2 linked regions of the Notamacropus eugenii genome follow. The protein of the gene in region 2 purifies or fractionates together with the protein of the main gene of each other region. This does not show direct contact. Links are inferred from orthologs where the notes say so. Each region holds a gene or a part of one and is shown on either strand. Other genes may lie near its edges.

Region 1 (10,101 bases), about 520 Mb from region 2:
CCATTGCACCAGATAAATAAATGATTTTGTCAGTGTCACTGCTTAGGAAGGGCACTGATAAGCTCAAGGGCAACTATGATAATGATGGGTCTTGAACCCATTCTGTACGTGCATTAGGTAAAATAACTGGGGATATAGGGCTTGAAGAAAAGACTGTTAAGGGTTATAATCGCTATTTTCAAGTACATGAAAGGCTGTCATGTGGAAGAGATATTGCATTTATTCTGTTGGGCCTTGGAGGCAAAACCACAAGCAACCATAAGCTGCAAAGAGGCAACTTAATCTCAATGTCAGGAAAAACTAACAATTAGAATTGTCCAAAAATAGAATAGGCAACCTGGAGATGTAGTGGATTCCCTCTCAATGGAGGTCTTCAAACAAAGGTTAGATGACTATTCGTTTGGGTATATGGTAATTTGGATTCTTTTTGGGGCATGAGTTGGACTACATGATTACTGAGATCCACTCCAACCCTGAAATTCTATGATTATGGGTAAACACGGTATCTGACTACTTATTTGCCAGTCTTCTGCACTGCCTAACAAGAATATGTTATAGAACTAGCAATAAAATAAAAGCAAAAAAAAGTGTCTTAAAATATATTTCTTCTCTTAATGAGTATCAGGGCTTTAATATAAACCTGTTTGTTACCTCTCTAAACAACATGAAATCAGTTAAAATAATAACACTATTTTACAAGCAAAGGAACAAAAATTCAGTAACAGCATACATACCATATCCTTTGTTGAAGACATCTTTGGCAGCCTTTCCTAGGTCACAGTAAGTTGGTGTGTCACACATTTCTTCTGAGAAAAACAGAAACAAAGAAATAGAATTATTTAAAACAAACAGAATAGCTCTTCCATTACCTCGTTCAATAAAAGGGCTAGTGCTCTCTCATTAACACAAGAAAAGCAAATAGTTAAATTATCAGTATCAAAATCTTATCAGTATCAAAGAAGTATTTAACTCTAAGAAGCTTAAAGCTCATCTACTATTTAGATACACTCCAGATTTCAACATTTAACATGACTAAATTAACATTTAACATGCTCAGAAATGAGCAACAAGAGAGACGTTTGCATCCAGGCCTGTAATAATACAATACTAGGAAAAAAAACACACTTGGTAACACATTCCCGTATTTAAATTAAATTTTGTTAACCATCAGATGACACAATTATAAAAGGCTAAAAGACATAAAATCCTAGGAGATCATTCTGTTGTTTCTAAGGGATCTTTTCCAGATGAAAACTAAAAAAGCACTCTTACAATATTCGGAGATGCTCTTGATAGAATATAAAAGAACTCTTCTTTTAAATGCAACCAGATATACAAATCAATAATGTTTGAGATGTTTTTTAAACAACATGCAAAAAACCTCTCTAAGGATGTTATAAAAATCGAAGTAAAAAGCATCTCAGCTGCAGAGTAAAATAAGCAGAACCATGAGAATATACAAAATGACTTCGTTAAGGTAAATGAAAAGATCACCAAAAGGCAGTTGAATCTCAAGTAACGAAAAAATCAATAAGGGCCTTGGAAAAGAGATACTGAACACACCTCCATAGCAGAGGTGGGAGACTACTAAGACAGAATATCGTACACATTGTCAGACAAGGTTTCTTTATTGAACATAGTGGCAAAAGAGTTTTCATTGTCACAAGGGAGAGTTCAACCTTGGGACATAAAGGGTAAGAAATGACGGGTATGTAAACACAAAAGACAACAACGAAATAAACAAAAAGCACAGCAGGGAAACCTTTTATGAACCCTGGAAAAGAAGACAACAAACTCAACACAACTTTGCAAATTCAGTCCTTCAAAAAATGAATTATCCTACAACTGAACATCATTCACTAAAAATGGAGTTCTGAAACCAGGCCTATATACAATAATCTATGGGGCTGAAAATCTTTCTGATCCCAAGATAAAAATGGTGCAAAGCCAAAGATGAAATTTTTCAAAAGTCCAAAGTGGCTTGAACTTTCACCTTCATTATGAAATATTCATCACTTGCCATCATCATTTTTGCCAAGTTCTCAGAGAAGACATTGCATTTGTGGGTCTCACGTTTCTCTGCCCTCTTTATTTTAATAAGAAATCTATTCCTGCAGTAGGTTACGTTTCTGACGCTCAGATTTAAAAGACTAAATCAAGCAAGTGCAGAACGATTTCAAAGTGTCCCTTTGGTCAAACTTGTGATTATTACTAGGAAACATAGTGCTCCTGAAGGCACAGTCTGGGTACCTGGACTATTCGCATACTTATTAAAAAATATGTTAAGTGAATGATCCCATTCTTAAACCTAGCCCTCGGCTAGTTATTTAATCTAAACCCACAGAATACTGCAAAAAAAAAAAAATTAAAGAAAAAAGTTTACCTGTTCAAAAAAGAGTAATGAATGATCTCTATCAACCTCACTAAATAGTATAAACTTTAATTTTGTCCTGAAATAAAGTTTCACATTTTACTTCTAGAACAATTTTATCTTACAAATAAGACCTTATTAAAGTCTCTATAATGTTTTTATTTTTAGGAGACACTGTCTAATTTATTCCTACAAAGTGTTTTAGTTTTTTACTCAACTTCAAAACCTCCCCCAAATACTTAGTGCAAATTTTATGATCTAGTTTCTGTTTTCTTTACTGATTTCTACTCTCTTGGCCCAATGTCATTTTTTCCAAATGTTAATTAATGGCATTTTAAAAAACGGTGGGTAAGAAGCATCTGGTGCTTCCTTTTGCTACAGAGTCAGTGATGTTTTGTGCAAGTTATCTAAGTGAATTCGAGCTACTGAGCTCCGGTACGCACCACGTGTAGCTAGTTTTTAGAGAAATTCAAAGAACAAATCACCGAGATTTCGTTACTATGTCAGCCGCCCCGGGTCACGCCTTCGGAGTTCTGGACAGAGCACGTCCTCGGTTGGACTTTAAACAGCTTATCTCGGAGGGAACCCTAGCACTCCAGAGGAACAATTTTCCTCCACTACGATCACCTTTCCTCTATTAACGGAGCTTGGGCAGAGACGCCAGGACCCAAGGGCGCCGGCGCGGCCGCGGCTCCTCCTACGGACCCCAGCGGGGGGTCCGGGCGCCAAGTTCCGGGAGCAGGTGACAGCCCCCCGCACCCCGGCACGCTCCCGGGCACGTTCGGAGGCTCGCGGTAGGCGCTCCAGACATTCAGATTAGGGCTGAGAAGGGGCGGGCTCCCCCTCCCCCCGCGTCTGCTCGCCCGCCCGGCCCGGCCCGGCCCGGCCCAGCCCCCTCTGCCCCAACACAAAACCTCCAGCCTCGCTCCCTCCCTCTCTCTCACCACTCCCCTATTCCGGCGCTTCCCCGCCCCCAAGACGCCGCTCTCACAGTTACAAAGCGTTCTCTTCTCCTCCCCCCGTCCATTCCGCCTTCTCTTCGTATTCCACCCCAATCCCCAGAGCCGTCCCCCCAGCCTCGGGCCGGCCTGCGTAGCGCGCGAGCCTGCGGCCTCCTCACCTCTAACTGAGAAGCCACTCTCTCCTCTTCACCAGGGCAAAGCTGAAGGTCTTCTCCACACCGACCCCGCCTGCGCCTGCGCCGAAATCGCTGTCCCAGAGCGGCGCCTGCGCACCGCTGGACGCTGCTTCTTCCGCCCCGCCCCAGCCGCTCTCCCAACCCCACCCCGGAGCGGCGCTTCGGTGGCGCCTGCGCACCGCCGCACGCTGCTTCTTCCGCCCCGCCCCGCCCCGCCCCAGCCGCTCTCCCAACCCCACCCCTGAGCGGCGCTTCGGTGGCGCCTGCGCTCTGGTTTTCTGGCACCTGCCGAGGGGAGTGGCGGAGCGGCGAGGCGTGGGGTGGTGGGGGGAAAGGGAGAACCAAGGTGTCTGGGAGGGCGCCAAGCTATCCCCACAAGTTCCGGACCCTCTGTCGCTTACCGTGTACACGTGCGCGGGAAGGGTCCCCGACACACAGGGTGGCCGAGGGGCTGGGCGAGCGACGGGATGGACGCTAGAAGAGTACGACCATCGCGGAACGTGGCTGCTCTCGCGAGAACTGCCGTGGGCGGGACCGGTTTCTGTTACCGAGGCGTGAGAAGGCGGAGCGTGGCTGGTCCGGAGGGCGAGCCTGGGACTTCGACGTCCTTTCCAGGTGCGGCTCCGTGTGACCCTGGGGGAGTCACTGCCGTGCTCCCGCTCCAGTCTGCTCCTAGAGAGATGGAGAAGGTCATCATCGGAGGTGGTTGTGAAGGTCGCGCTGGAGAATATGAAGGGCTTGGCAGACGCTTCGAAGGGCGCGGTGAATGAGTGGGGTTGTATTTTGTATTATTTAGGAGGTGGGGAACCTGCGGCCTCTCGAGGCCTCGCAGTGAGGGCCGCGCTTGAGGACCTAAGGTGTCGGAGCTGGAAGAGCCCTTAGAGACCACCTAGTCCAGATGAGGAAGCTTGAAATTATTCGTGTGAGGTTTAGATTCAGTTAAAGGGCTGCACTCGAGGCCCTAGAGGGCCACGTGTGGCCCGGAGGCCGCAGGTCCCCCACCCCTGGCCCTGGACCATTCTGCTTCCATCCTGAGTGGACGCTTTGGACGTTTTAATTTTATGCTTTACCCGGAAATGGTTAAAAATTAAATGACGTGATAGTAGTAGCTAACATTTCTGTAGGCCTTAGCATAGGCCAGGCCCTGTGCTAAGCTCTTTACAATTATTATTTGATCCTCACAACAACGGGGGGGGGGGGGGGGGGGGGGGGGGAGGGAGTGGTGTGTTATGAGATCAAGTAGAAAAGGACGGTTTATTTATTGACTGGGACCTTCCTACAAAGCCTGAAGTTAAATCAGATAAGTCTTAAGAAACCTATATCATATTACGTATTTCAGTTTGGAAGGTATCCAGAAGGTCACTTAGTCTCTTCTATCCACCCCCACATTTTATAGATCAGGAAACCAAAGCTCTGAGAAGTCCAGTGTTCTGCCCTAGGCGGCCCACTTAATGAGTGCTAGAGGCAGGGTTGAAATCCAAGTCCATTAACTGCACATTACATTGTGTTTGCATCACATTGCCTTGAAGAAGAGATCTAACCTGGACTGGCCTGAGCCGTTGACATGAGGGCAGTATGAACAGAGATATGGAAATTGTTCTTTTCAATAGCTCTTTTTTCAAAGGCCTTGGTCTTTCTTCCCTATGAGAGCAACCTCAACTCATCTACATGAGCCTGTTCTCCTTCCCTTAGGTATTGAAAAAATTCTCCCCTAAGATTTATCTCAAATAATAGTCTGCTAAAATTACAGCCTCAGAATAATTTGGCTTTCTTCCCCTTTCTACTCTTTCCTCATTCTTCACAAATAATGGAAATATCAGGAGTCAGTTATTTTTCACCTTAGTCTCCTACTTAAATAGTCCAACATTTAAAGTTAGCATGTGGGTGAACCTGAGTTCTCAGGACCTACCAGATTTGGAAAGCTTTAAATATGGGCATGACCATGGACTGCATATGCCTTGTCCAAGGATCTTTCTAGCTTACTCTGAGGAAATTTAGTCACAGCATCTCATGGAGAAAACCTACCAAGACATGTAGAAGTGATCAGGTACTTCTAATATTTTTTCAATTGTATATAAAGACAATTTTTAACATCCATTTTTAAAATAAAATGTTGAGTTCCAAATTTTCTCTCTTACTCTTTCCCCTCCCTCCTCCCTAAGTAGGTAAGCAATTTGATATATGTGTAATAATGTAAACCTCATTTTCATGTTAGTCATGTTATGAAAGAAGAAACAATAAAAGGAAAAAAACTACAAAAAAAAAAAGTGAAAATGATATGCTTTGATCTGCGTTCAGACTCCATCAGGTTCCTTTTCTGGATGTGGATAGCATTTTCCATCATGAGTCTTTTGAAATTGCCTTGGATCATTGTATTGTTGAGAAGAGTTAAGTCAGTTATAGTTGATCATTGCAAAATGTTGCTCTTACTGTGTACAATGTTCTGGTTCTACTCACTTCAGTTTGTATCGGTTTATCTAAGTCTTTTCAGTTTTTTCTGATGAGGTACTTCTTGATAAGTGCCTCAAAAATCACATTGCTAGAATGGTTTGAGACTAGCCAGCTGGTGGAATAGGAGGACAGTCCTTCCAGCCTATTCATTCCAACCCCTATATGAACAAAGATCTCAGACAAGTACAAGATTGAATAGTGATCAGAAATCTAGGAAGAGATCAGAGTGGATCATCTTTCCAAAACAGGTTCAGCCCACAGGCAAGAGACCAGGGCAGGAACTCTGAAACAGAGGCAGCCTCAGAACATGGAGCCAGACTCCAGGAGCAAAATAGGGAGATTAAGATCTCAGACTCAGGCCTTGAGTATAGGTCTATTTCTTTAATCCAGGTTGGACTCATTCCCATACAAAGAATAGGGCCTCAGCATTTTCCATGTAATTGCTTGAAGAGGGAATCTGAGACTTGGGATATAGCTGCATGGCACAGGGATTCCAGCTCTGTTAAGGCCCATGGTGCTGTTGTTCTACCCAAGAGAGGGAATCTCAGAACCAAACTTCTGGAGCAGAAGAGAACCACAACTCTGACTCTATAACCCACGAGAAGGGATCTTGGGACTCAAGTTCAGTGCTGAAGCATGGGCCAAAGCATGGTTGTTCTGACCCCAGCAGCAGAACTACGGATAAAATAGGCCAGAACTATTCAAAGCAATGAGTTTCACCAGAAATGAGCAGTGCCTGACCCTAAGACAAAATCCTAATCTATGAAGTAAAACTGGGGAAATGAGTAAATAAAAAAAGACAAAACACCATTATGATACCAGGTATAACCAAGTCACAAATTCAGAAGAAGAGAATAATTCTAAAACTTTTAAAGCAAAGTCTCAAAAAAACAAAAATAAAACCCACTACAAATTGGTACAAAATCAATTACAGTCTCTAGAAGACATGAAACGAGATTTGTTGGGTTTTTAAAAAGCATTTAAAACTACTATAAGTTAGATGAAAACACTAAAGGAAGGAATTGAAAAGAAATGGAGGTATGGAGGAGAGAATCATAAAAGAATTGGCAGCTAAGCATAAGAGGTACAAGACCTTACCCAAATAACAGACACCTTGAAAATTACAATGAACTGAACAGAGTTAAGTTAATGACTCTAGGAGAGAAAAAAATATTAAGATAAAAGACTGAAAAAAATAGAGAAAATGTAAGATATCTCACATCAAAAAGCAACTGGCCTGGAAAATAAAACAAGGATTGATAATTTAAGAGTACCAGAAATGCATGACCAAAAAAGGAGTCTGGGTATCATATTTCAAGATATTATGAAAGAAAACTGCCCAGATCTGTTAAAACAAGGGCAAATTGAAAATAGAAAAGAATCCATCAATCATCTCTTGAAAGAAACTCCAAAGTGAAAACTCTCAAGGGCATCATAGACAAAGTCTAGAGCTTCCAGGTCAAAGTAGCCAGCAAGAAAATTCTCAAGAACTGAGGAACCATAGTTTTGATCACACAAAATTTATCAGCTACCGGTATAAGAGCATGGAATGTAATATTCCAAAAGGCAAAAGATGTAGGCCTACAGCCAAAAATAACAATTGTAATCTTACAGGAGAGAAAAATAGACCTTCAATGAAACATAGGACTTCCAGGCACTCCTGATGAAAAGACCAGAACTGATTGGAAACTTTGAAATGTAAACACAGGAGGCAAAAGAAACATAAAAAATTAATACAAGGGAACAATAGGAAGAAACTTTATAAGGATGAACTGTTTATATTCTTTTGGGAGAAGAGAATGATGAAAGCTACCTCCAGAACCTTAATGTCACAAGTTGTTGTTGTTATTGTTCAGTCATTTAGTTGTATCTGACACTTTATGACCCATGGACTGTAGCCGTCAGACCCTTCTATCTTCCACTACCTCTTGATATCTGTCCAGGGTCATGTTCATTGCTTCCATGACACTATCCATTTCATCCTCTGCTGTCCCCTTTTCCATTTGCCTTCAATCTTTCCCAACCTTTTAGTCTTTTCCAACGTGTCCTGTCTTATTATGTGGCCAAAATATTTAAGCTTCAGCTTCAGTATTTGACAATTCAATTTGAATTAATTTCTTTAATTATTGATTGATTTGATTTCCTTGTTGTCCAAGGGAATCCCAAAAGTCTTCTTAGCACCACAGTTTGAAAGTATTGATTTTGTGGCACTCAGCTTTCCTTATAGTCCAACCCTCACAGCCATACATTGCCAGTGGAAAAACCCTAGCTTTGACTATATGGACCTTTGTTGGCAAGATAATGTCTCAGTTTTTTAATATGCTGTCCAGATTTGCCATAGCTTTCCTTCCAAGGACCAAGCATCTTTTAATTTCATAGCTGCTGCTACTGTCTGCAGTGGTCGTTAAGCCCAAGAATATAAAATTTAACACTGCTTCCATTTCTTCTCCCTCTGTTTGCCAAGAAGTGATGGGACCAGTTGCCAAGATCTTAGTTTTTTTATGTTAAGCTTCAAGCCAGCTTTTACACTGTCCTCTTTCACCTTCATCAGCAGACTTACTTCTTCTGGCAACCTTAATTCTGGCTTTTGTTTTGTCCAGTCTGGCATTTTGCATATTATTTTCTGCATATAAGTTAAGTAAATAGGGTTACAATATATAGCGTTATCATATTCCTTTTCCAATCTTAAGCCAATCAGTTGTTCCAGGTTTGATTAGTGTAGTCAGTGAAGCAGAAGTAGTTTTTCTGGAACTTCCTTGTTTTCTCTGTAATGCAACAAATGCTGGCAATTTGGTCTCTAATTCCTCTGCCTCTTCAAGAACCATCCTGCTCTTCTGGTAATTCTTGGGCCACATGTTGCTTAAGACTAGTCTGCAGAATCTTAAGCATAACCTTGCTGGCATGTGAAATGAGTGTGGTTCTTCAATAATTTGAAGATTCTCTGATGTTGCGCTTTAAGATTGGTACATAAATTGATCTTTTACAATCCAGTGGTTGCTATTGAGTTTTCCAAATTTGTTGGCATATTGAGTTTAGTATTTTAACAACATCATCCTTTAGGATTTTAAATACCTCAGTTGGAATTCCTTCACCTCCACTAGCCTTATTGTTAGAAATGTTTCCTAAGGCCCACTTGACTTTGTTCTGCAGGGTGTCTAACCAAATCAGTAACCACACCATCATGGTTACAGGTAATATTGAGGTCTTTCCTGTATAGTTCTTCTGTATGGTCTTTCTAACTCTTCTTAATCTCTTTTACTTCTCTTAAGTCCCTACCATTTTTGCCTTTTGTCATGCCCATTTTTTTAAATGAAATTTTCCCCTGATATTTCTGATTTTCATGAAGAGATCTCTTGTCTTTCCCATTCTGTTGTTTTCTTCTATTTCTCTGCATTGCTCATTTAGGAAAACTTTCTTATTTTTCCTTGCAACTCTCTGGAATTCTGCATTCAATTAGATACAGCTTTCCTACTTTCTTCGTCTATTTGTAAAGCCTCATCAGACAGCCATTTTGCTTTCTTGCTCTTTTTTTTTCTTTGAAATGTTTTTTGTTGCTGGCTCCTGTACAGTATTGCAAATCTCTGTTCATAATTCTTCAGGCATTCTCTCTATCAGAGCAAAAGCCTTATATCTATTCATCACTTCCACTTCATAAGGGATGTTATTTATTTAGGTCATACCTATTCAGTCTGATGGTTTTCACTACTTTCTTCAATTTAAGCCTAATTTTGCAATAAGAAACTCATGATCTGAGCCACAATCAACTTCAGGTCTTGTTTTAACTGGCTGTATAGAGCTTCTCCACCTTTGGCTGCAAAGTATATAATCAGTCTATTTTGATATTGACCATCTGGTGATGAGCACATGTAGAGTTGCCTTTTAAACTGTTGAAAAAGAGTCTAGACAACATCTGTCTTGAATCCACACCATGCTTTGGCTTAGCTCTCAATTCTAGTCTTAGCTGGTCTCGTGGAGACCTCTTGTCTGCTCCAATGTTGAAACTAGCCAGGAACCTTCTCTGAGAGCAGATGACACTGTAACCATCAGAACAGTAAGTTCGTGACAAACAGATTTCTTCAGTTTAAACTGATGGTTACAGATACCCTCCATCCTGGAAAGGCCACAATACCTAAGACTTAAA
Region 2 (9,982 bases):
CAATTATTTTAAAAGATGGACATGTTCTTACTTTGAAAGATTTGTTCCTATTTTACTCCTGCCAGGAACTGTGAGTTCATCAGCGTGGGCACTCCCTACATCAATGCTGATTAAAATTCCCCTAAGAGTTAGTAGCTGGTTTTGGAGAGTTACTATCAAATAAAATTAAATTAAATAAAATTAAAAATCATCATCCTGGGAACACCATGGTAATGAGTCTCTCTGTACTTGGCCATGCTGGCCTATAGGCCACAGATACATGTGACTTATCACTTCAGTATATACTTTCAGACTTTCCATTTTGGTAGAATCTGGCATAGCGTGTATTCTGTTATCATTAGCCTTCAAGAATTCAGGGTAACCTTCTTATCATGATGAAGCTACGGAATAAGAATTTAGTGGAATTTTGTTCTTAGTGAGTCTATATTGGCATTTAGTAATCAATGATTACATTTCTAAGTGCTCATGAATCATCTGTTTAATAATTCATTTTAGGAATTTTCTAGGGATCTGTGCTAAGTACACTATTCTGTAGTTTCTAGGGTTTACCTCTTCCCCCTTCTTAAAAATCAGGACTTCTCCCATCTCTGCCCCTCTTTTAGTCTTTCGGTGTTGTTTTTTTTCCTTCCATTCTTCGTAGTTACAAAAAAGAATGATTGTAGTTCACTTTTGAGGTCTCCTAGTTCTTTTGGTACACTGAGATACAATTCTAGGTTCAGAAGCTTCAACTCATTTAGGATAGCTAGGTGCTTTTATTTCTTTTATCTCTGTTTTCCTTTTTCCATTTTTGCAGATAGAGAAAACCCCATTATCTATTAACATTATACCATTGTCCTAAGGTATTCACCTATCCTTTCTTTGTTTTACTTGAACTGAAACATAGCTCTAAAAAATTCTATTTGGTGTCAGTATTTTCCACGAAGCTTAATTTATTTTTTCCACCTTTCTGGCACCTAGCACAGTGCCTGACACAGTGTAGGTGTTTAATAATACTTGATTGTTTTACTTGGCCTCCCGGAGGAAGTGGCATGAGTCTGAAAGAAAGAAAAAAGAATAGGGGATTGATAGGAATCTAGGACCAGGAAAGGAGCCCACCTCCGATTCATTGTACCCCATCTCCACCTATAGAACTACCCTGGCTTCCTTCAAGACTTAACTGAAAAGTCCTCTCCATTTGTTAATGCATTCCATGTTTTCTGCATGTATTTGTAAGTAAATAGATCAGGGGGCTGTGTGTGTGTGTGTGTGATGGACCCCCTCTGGCAGCCTGGTAAAGCCTATGGACTCCTTTTCAGGATAATGTTTTTAAAGGTATAAAATAAAATACATAGGATGTGAGCTCTTCCAGAGCAGAAACTGTCTTTTGTTCTTCTTTGTTTTCCCAGCACTAAGCTCATTGCTTGGCACATAGTAGACGATTAATATTTACTGACTGATTGACAAAAGTTACCAATCATAATGAAATAGTTATCAAAATATTTTTTAAAAACCCCACAAGTTCACAGACCTTTTATTCAGTTTGTTTCTACCTTCAGTTTGTTTGTGCATAGTTCTTGGTTTATTGTTTCCATGTTTGAAAATTTGAACTCTATAAAATCAGAGACTGCCTTTTTACCTCTTTTTGTATCTCCAGAGCTTAGCACAGTGCCTGGGACATAGTAAGCACTATATAAACATTTTATTATTATTCAGGTTGAGACATATGTTTTTGGGATGTGGCTAATTCAGGAATTTATTTTGTTTGACATTACATGATTGTAAAGGGATTTTGTTTTTCTTGCTTTCTCAGTAGAAATAGGAGAAGTGGGAGGGAGAGAAGGTAGATCTTTGAAAAAAATTAAAAAGAAAATCAAAACTAAAAACAAATAAGTATATACGTGTTTGACATACAGTGTTGCTCCTTCTACTAGATATTTTTCTTTAAAAAAATACTCTTTCAGTACTGTATTTCTGTAATGAATATTTTCCCATCAAATGTCAATACCAACAATGAGATTAGTTTTCTTGTGTTAAAAATTTTGTTACCCATGCTGTGGTTCACTGATAGACATTTAAATCCATTAATATTGTAAAGACATCCTCTTCCCTATTGTTTTGCTTCCAAGAGCACTTTCTCCATGACTGTTCTATGTCATTTCTATTTTGCCCTCTACTGCGTCTAATTTTAAAGGAATACCTTTCTTTCCAAATTTCCATTTTGAATCATCTTGATCAGATTGGCAAATCTAAAACATGCTGTTTGTTGCCTTCATAAGATATCATAGGGTATATTTAGATCTGAAAAGTACATTAGAGGTCACCACTCTTCTTCATTGGGCAATTATTCTGATATCGTCAAAATATGTGGGGCTTAGCACTTAATTTTTTTCTACCTGATTTAGGTTGTGTTTTCCTATCTGATTCATTAACTTCTTGAAGGTTAGGGTAGTGTCTTTTACTTTCTTTTGTATCTTGAAGAATACCTGACCATTCTGGGCACATGATAGGCCAAGCATTGGTAACTTTGGGGAATACATGCCAAAGGTAGGACAGGAGATATTTTCAGTGACATGCTGAAGTCCTTCTTATGTCTTATCATGGTATGGTAGTGATCTTGGGTTTTTGAAGGATCTGCCAGGAGATCATGAACACTGCCAACTTTTACCAGTGGAAAACAATGAAAACTATGGGTCTGGCAAGGAACTGTTTGTCATCCCCAAATCAGTCAAGTTGTCTCCAATAATTTATGTAGCAATTAGTAAATATTTATTAAGTGGTATCTATGTATCAGGCACTGTGCTAGGTGCTTAGGATATGAAGAAAGGCAAAATATAAAATGTGCCCTCAAGGACAATATGCAAACAAAATATATATAAACAAGCTATATATAGGATAAATGGGAAATAATCAACAGAGAAAAGGCACTAGAAATAAGGGGAATCTAACAAGGCCAAGTGGGGTTTTATTTTTTTTTTTATTTAAAATTCTTCAATTCTAAACTGTCTCTCCTCTTCTCAGCCTCTTCCACCCATCTGGAAGAGAAGAAAAACAAAACTCATTTCAAATATGTATAGTCATGCGCAACAAATTTCTGTATTTGGCATGCCACAAAAGAAAGAAAAAGAGAAAGGAAGGAAGAAAGGAAAAGGAACTATGCTTCAGGCTTCATGCTTGAGTCCTTCAACTCTTTTTTTGGAAGTGAATAACATTTTTCATAGTGAGCCCTTTGGAACTGTGGTTGGTCCTTGATCAGTTACTAAGTCTTTCAAGGTTGATTATCTTTACAATATTGTTACTTTGTAAATTGTTCTCCTGGTCCTGCTTACTTTACTTTGCACCAACTTCATACAAGTCTTCTCAAGTTTATCTGAAACCATCCCAAATGTGGAGTTTTACCTACCACCTGAAGGAAGTCAGGGAAGTCACCAAGCGGAGATGAGGATGGAGAACATTCCAGTTGTGGGGAAGACAGTGAAAAGTCCTAGTTAGGGGGTGGAATGTCTTGTTAGAGCTACAGCAAAAAGGTCAGTGTCGTTGGAATGAAGAAAGTACATGATATGTGTGGGGGATGGGGATGGGGAGTAAGCTATAAGAAGACTGGAAAGGGGGAGGCAGGTTTTGAAGGACTTTTGACACCAGACGATTTTTATATTTGATCCTGGAGGTCATAGGGAGCTACTGGAGTTAGTGACAGTCTGGAACATTATGGAGTACTCCTGTAGATGACAGATAATTGAGTATTAAAGTAAATCACCGTCACCATGGATTTCTGCAAAATTTCAAGTGAGTTTTTTTTTTTTTAATCTTCCTTTCTCCATCTATTCTCACTACCTCTAATCTCTTCTCTTAATCCACTCCCTGCCTCTCCTGGCAGCCACCAGTTAGTTACCTCATGCTTCACCCAGGCCTCATGCATCCAAATTATTCTTCTCCCCCCAATTCCTGGGGGAGATTGGCAAAACTAACTTTTGAGGGGAACAGAGGTCTGCTCTCATCTCTCTGTTAGGAAGAAGAAATCTGATGTTCAGTTTGCTGTTTTGCTTCTAGGATATGTGGTGGAGATGGAGATTTTGGGGGCTTTCCCTGACCTATGCTACCCCTTTCATTCCACTCCTCTGTTAGCATCTCTTGTACTGTTGGCTAGTATTTACAAAATTCGAAGTCTGCTAAAGCTGATTTTTATCACATTATAGGCAGTCATTCCCTCAGTCAACAAGCATTTAGTAAGCCTTCCCCATGCCAGACCCTGTACTAAGCTCTGGAGATACAAAGAAAGGCAAATGCAGAGTCCTTACCCTTAAGGAGCTAACAATCTACTCGGAGAGACCACATGGAAATACATGTTCACACAAGATACATACAGTGCAAATGGGTTGTATGGAAATCCATATCCTTTATTTCAGTCACTGTTCTCTCGCTTTGGTCTCAGTGTTGTGTGGTGCTGGCCAGGTGCCCAGAGTCTCTGTGTACACAGACTATTACCGTATTTGTTTTCCTTGCCAGAACCTCATAAGGGGAGGGAGGTGAGAGGGGGTGTTGCCATAAGCGCATAGAGAGAAGCAATAGCTCTTGGACGACTTAGGGAACTAGCAAATAAATTAAAGCAAACTTTAATAAGAACAAAAACCAAACCTGCCCATGCTGTTACCAGACTTCTTTAAAGTCACCATCACCACTTTGTCAAAGATAAAAAGTATTTTGTCAATCAGTAGCTATTCTCCTGTGATCACTGAACAGCCTTCATCCTCCCCGATTTGATCCTACATAGATGAGATTTGTACTTACATAACTCCAGGTTTTGTTTTATTTTGAAATCACATCAAGGAGAAAAATAGGGAGTAGGGAGGCAAGGAATCCATAAGATAAGTTTACTGTTTCTCATTTCTTTGTACTTGGATTCCTAGTGCCTAGCACAGAGCCTGACACAATCCAGCCACTTAATAATACTTGGGCCTTCCGGAAGAAGTGGTGTTTTAAGAGTTGTTAGTCTGAAAGGAAGAAATTAGACTAGGGGACTGACAGAGATGTAGGACCAGGAAAGGAGCCCACCTCTGCTTCATTCTGCTCTTGGTTTAAGACTGATCTGGCCTCTCATCTCCACCTATTGAATTACCCTGGCTTCCTTCAAGGCTCACCTCAAAGGCCCCTCCATTTGTTAATGAACTTCATCTTTTCTGCATATATTTTGTAAGTATATAGATCAAGGGGCTGTGTGTGTGTGTGTGTGTGTGTGTGTGTGTGTATGTTTGTGGTGAACCCTTCTGGCAGTGTGGTAAAGCCTATGGACTCCTTTTCAGAGTAATGCTTTTAAATGTATAAGATAAAATACATAGGATGTAAGCTCTTCCAGAGCAGAAAGTTGTCTTTTGTCTTTCTTTGTTTCTCTAGTGCTAAGCTCATTCTCTAATACATACTGGGTACTTAATGTGTATTAACCGATTGACAAAGGTAATCAATCATCATGAAATAGTTAACAAAATATTAAAAAAAAACCCCTCAGAAGCCACACACCCTTTATTCAGTTTGTTTACAGATAGTTGTTGGCTCATGGTCTCCATCTAGTGACTTGTGAGCTCTTTGTGTCTCTAGAGTTTAGCACGGTGCCCGGCACAGAGTAAATGTTACTGTTGTAACGTTCCCCTTTAGAACTGTAAGCTCCTTGGGGGCAGGGACTTTCTTTAACCTCTTTTTATGCCCCCGGTGCCTGGCACATAGTAAGTACTATACATAAACATTATCATTTTTGCTGCAATGGTTACTATTACTGTCTTCCCCTTTTAGAACTGTAAGCTCCTTGGGGGCAGGGACTTTCTTTAACCTCTTTTTATGCCCCCGGTGCCTGGCACATAGTAAGTACTATACATAAACATTATCATTTTTGCTGCAATGGTTACTATTACTGTCTTCCCCTTTTAGAACTGTAAGCTTCTTGGGGGCAGAGACAGTTTTTTTCCCACCCCCCAGCGCTTAGCACACCTTTATGTTTGACTGGTTTGATCCTAGATTTTCTCCCAGGTGTCTGCCCCCATTAGAATGTACAGCTCCCTAGAAGGCTGGGACTAGTGGAGTGAGTGTGTGTGTATGTATGTATGTGTGTCTGTACATGTTTTCTATGTATCCTCAGCATGTTTGTGTGTATGTACGTGTTTTCTCTGTATCCCCGGCGTGTGTGTGTCTGTGTGCGTGTCTGTGTGCGTGTGTGTACGCGTTTTCTCTGTATCCCCGGCGTGTGTGTGTGTCTGTGTGTGTCTGTGTGTGCGTGTGTGTACGCGTTTTCTCTGTATCCCCGGCGTGTGTGTGTGTCTGTGTGTGTCTGTGTGCGCGTGTGTGTGTACGCGTTTTCTCGGTATCCCCGGCCCTGGAACACGATGAACGTTTCCTCCGTGTGTCTGGCTGCTCGCTCGGCCGAGGGACCAGGGCGCTGGTTCGGGAGGGCGGCATTTGGGGCGGCCCGGGATGGGCAGGCAGAGGGCCGCCCCGCGCCCCCGCCTTCCTCAGTTTCCCTCCCCAGCCCCCACCCCCAGCGCTTCCGAAGGTGAGCGCGGACGACTGGGCGGAGCCGGGCCCCATCCCGGTGACGTGCGGGCCAACCAGGCGGCGTTGCGGCTGCCCGGGTTACCTCCCGGCCCGCCGCGGCCGCCGACGCCTCCTCCTCCTCCTCCTTCGCCTCCTCCCGGCTTTCTCCTCTCCCCTCGGAGCAGCCGCCGCCGCCTCTGACGCCTCCAGCCTCCGCACTCGCTGCCGCCGCCGGCAGCTCGGCCGCCGGTCCATCCGTCCTCCCGCCGGCCCGGCCCGGCCCCGGCCCCGGCCCCGGCCCCGGCCTGGCCACATGGCGTTCCTTCGTTTCTGCAGCGCGGACGGCTCCGACCCGCACTGGGTAGATAACGCGCGGGGTTGGGGAGAGGCCGCTCCTGGGCTGGGGAGGGCAGGGCCGGCCCGGGGCCGCCCGAACGGGACCCTGGACGCCCCGCCGGGCCAGCCCCCGGGCCGCGGGAGGGCGAGCCGGGACTTACTGGTCCGGCCCGGCAGGGCCACCTGGACTGCAGCTTCGGAACCTGGGGGAGGGGACGGCCGCGGCATCCTGCCCGGCACGCTCCGGGGGCGCCCGCCGAGCCTGCCCCCCGCTGCTCACCCCAGGCGCCGGCGGAGACTCGGCGGGTGGGAGTCTGTTTGGGGCGAATTGGGAGCCCCAGGAGAAGGGGGTGCCGGGGGTGGGGCGTCTACTTAAGTGGTGAAAATGGCTGGGCGCTGACTTCCCCATCTGCCCCTTACCCCGCCTGCCCCTTATCTCTGTCTGCCCCTTACCCCCCCCCCCCCCCCGCGCCTTACACCCCCATCTACCCCTTACTCCCATCTGCCCCTTAGCCTCCCCTCCCGTGGGACCCTCGGTGGAGAGAAGTGTAGGGAGAACTTCAGTGCCCCAGCCGCGTGACTTGAGTAGCCCACGTCCCTGGGGAGTACACGCGTGGCTTAGCTTTGAGACTGAAAAGAGCACGCGGGGGATGGGGCTTTGGGTTGTGTGGATGTGGGAGCTTGTCTGGGGGGCTCCCGGCCCGGCTCGGCTGCTGCCTTTCAGCTGAGTGAGTGGCATTGGGGGCATTTCATTAGATCCACAGAGGTACTTTTCCTTCTTGTGGTTCCATGCAAAGAAATGCACTTAGGGGATTTGGTGGAAAGTTTGGGGTTGATTCTGACTCCTCCCTCCAAGTCAGGGAATGAATTTATTGTGGGCCCCCATTGGAAGTCACAAAGCGTGACCGAGCTCTGCTGTGTGTTGTCCTTTCTTTGTGCCACTGGGGGAAACCACTAGAAGGGACCACTAGGCAGGAGGTCGGGTTCCCCACTGCTGATGCTCTGGGCTCAGTAGCCGGGGAAGTCAGAAACAAAACAAAACACTGTAACAGTAAAAAATGAATCCCGTGGTAGTTTGGTGCAGGAGGTTTTTGAGGAGGCATCTCCAGGAGTGAGGGACCTGAGAACACATAATCAGGATGCTCCAAGGAGGATCCGTGTTAACTCACATTATTACCTTTCCTTAGTTGAGAGTTACTTTCACCATGGCAAACATTGTTTCCTCCTCTGTCTTGAATTAGGGAGTTAGACTTAACAGAAGCTTGGTTACAATGTAAGTTCTCTGACCACATCTGGACTGGAAACTATGTGGGGTCTTTAACGAGGGATTGTTAGGGGGAGGGGAAGAAATTCCTTGTAATCCAGAAGTGGGTAATGGGAGGTCCAACACCCTAAATGCATTCTTTTCATTGTTTTCCTTGCTTCTCTGCATCATAAACTGCATTCAGGTTGTTTGTGTAATTCCTCCCGTTGCCTCAGTAGTACTAGAGGTGCCCGCTCAGTATGGCAGAGCTGAAATGAGCCACTTGTCCTGTTTTCGGTTCACTGGAATATGATATTTAGTCTAGTCTGGAAATATTTAAGATCCTTTAGAGAGATTTAGCAACACAATTTCTACAATGACCAAATGAGATAATATTTTTACAAGACACGTAGCGCAGTGCCTGGCACATAGCAATCCCTGTATAAATGCTTATTCCCTTCCCCTCCCTTTCTCTACAAGGGCCAACTGTAGCAGTCAGGTTGTTGTAGTGGAACTGTTTTGGTTCAAATCCTGTCTCAGGCACTTTTATTACCTAGGTAATCAACCTCTCTGAGCCTGTTTTCTTATCTGTAGAATTCAACTCATCATGGCAGTACCTTTGTTAACCTCCCAACTGTGATTGTGAGGAGCAGCTAGGGGCAGGAGTAAGGAGGACCTGAATTCAAATCTCACCTTAGACACTTGACACTCACTTGCTGTGTGACCTTGGGCAAGTCACTTAAACCCAATTGCCTCATCCTGAGTCATCTCCAGTCATCCTGATGAATCTGGTCACTGGATTCAGATGGCTCTGGAGGAGAAGTGAGACTGGTGACCTTGCACAACAGCCCTCCCTCACTCAAAACAAAATCAAGTGCAAATCATGTCATCATTTCTCTGATGGCATGGTCTTCTTGGGCATCGAAGGATGAACACACATATGATTGAGGATCAAGTGAGACAATGTTTATAAAGCCTTTTGTAAACCCAAAAGCCATAGGTATGTGCCTAATAAATTATTATTACCAGTGGAACTGCTTTAGTGGGAGTTGAGGAGAAAGGTTGAGGCTTTTTCTTCCATTTGTCATCTTACCATTTGTGGCACATAGTTCTGTCAGAATTCATTTGGCTTTGTCAAATTGCTAGTTACCTTGAAATGATGGCAGTTTGTTTTTTCCTAAGTTAATGGAAAATTAGTAAATGATCCTTAGGAGACCACATATTTTCTAGGAAAAGGCTGCTGTTTGCTAATATTTTTCCCTTGAAAATTGTTATGTGGTGATCTTACCAGTTGCCTTAATTCAGGAAAACTCACTCAGGAAGAATCTAAATCTGCCAATTTAATTGTGCCTTTCTGAAATTTTCTGCCATACCTTTCTAGCCAGGTAAATAATAGTCACCAAAGGGCCTCTCCTTAGTTACTAACTGGTCTTTTCTTGCCTGCTAAGAGAGTCATGGCAAACCAGGCCAGTGTGTCACTCCTTTTCTAAAATGCCCTAGTGAATGAGTGGGTGGGGAAGAAGGAAAGCAGGAAAGAAGGCATTAATAAACACCGTAGACAGTTGCATGAGAATAGATGAGAGGACTCCCTGGACATACCTAACCTGCATGCCAATAACATCCAAGCACTAATAAGGCCCTAGTCTAATAGTATGCTGCCCTTCTTATGGGAAGATGGTGTAATTTGTGTTAATCTGATTTCCTCTGTGGTATATTTTTTCCTGGTGGTGGAGACAGGTTGCATTGAGCCATCTGTACTCAGGACAAAGGCCTCCTTGCCATTAAGACCTTACATTTTTTTGTAAGACAGCAGTCTAGGTCCTGGAGGGTGTTGGCTAGAGTTAGATGCCTTACCGTTGTGAGGGAATGGAGGCATTTCCTGGCCTTTAGGTAAATCACATCTGTTAT

What was found. Proteins that work in one complex are often made in the same cells at the same time.
Region 1: the proteins of ABCC1 (region 2) and VDAC3 fractionate together in Homo sapiens (co-fractionation; 3 studies listed by BioGRID). This does not show direct contact. The link is inferred for Notamacropus eugenii from reciprocal best matches to the Homo sapiens genes ABCC1 and VDAC3.

Annotation. Positions count from the first base shown.
Region 1 is NC_092872.1:618,133,497-618,143,597, forward strand, and holds the start of VDAC3 (non-selective voltage-gated ion channel VDAC3), read right to left. Parts: upstream 4,017-10,101; 5' UTR 3,911-4,016; intron 3,568-3,910; exon of another isoform or gene 3,492-3,567; intron 807-3,491; 5' UTR 802-806; coding exon 735-801; intron 1-734. UniProt on the Homo sapiens protein: Non-selective voltage-gated ion channel that mediates the transport of anions and cations through the mitochondrion outer membrane and plasma membrane.
Region 2 is NC_092872.1:96,267,681-96,277,662, forward strand, and holds the start of ABCC1 (multidrug resistance-associated protein 1), read left to right. Parts: upstream 1-5,978; 5' UTR 5,979-6,064; coding exon 6,065-6,514; intron 6,515-6,526; exon of another isoform or gene 6,527-6,808; coding exon of another isoform or gene 6,809-6,856; intron 6,857-9,982.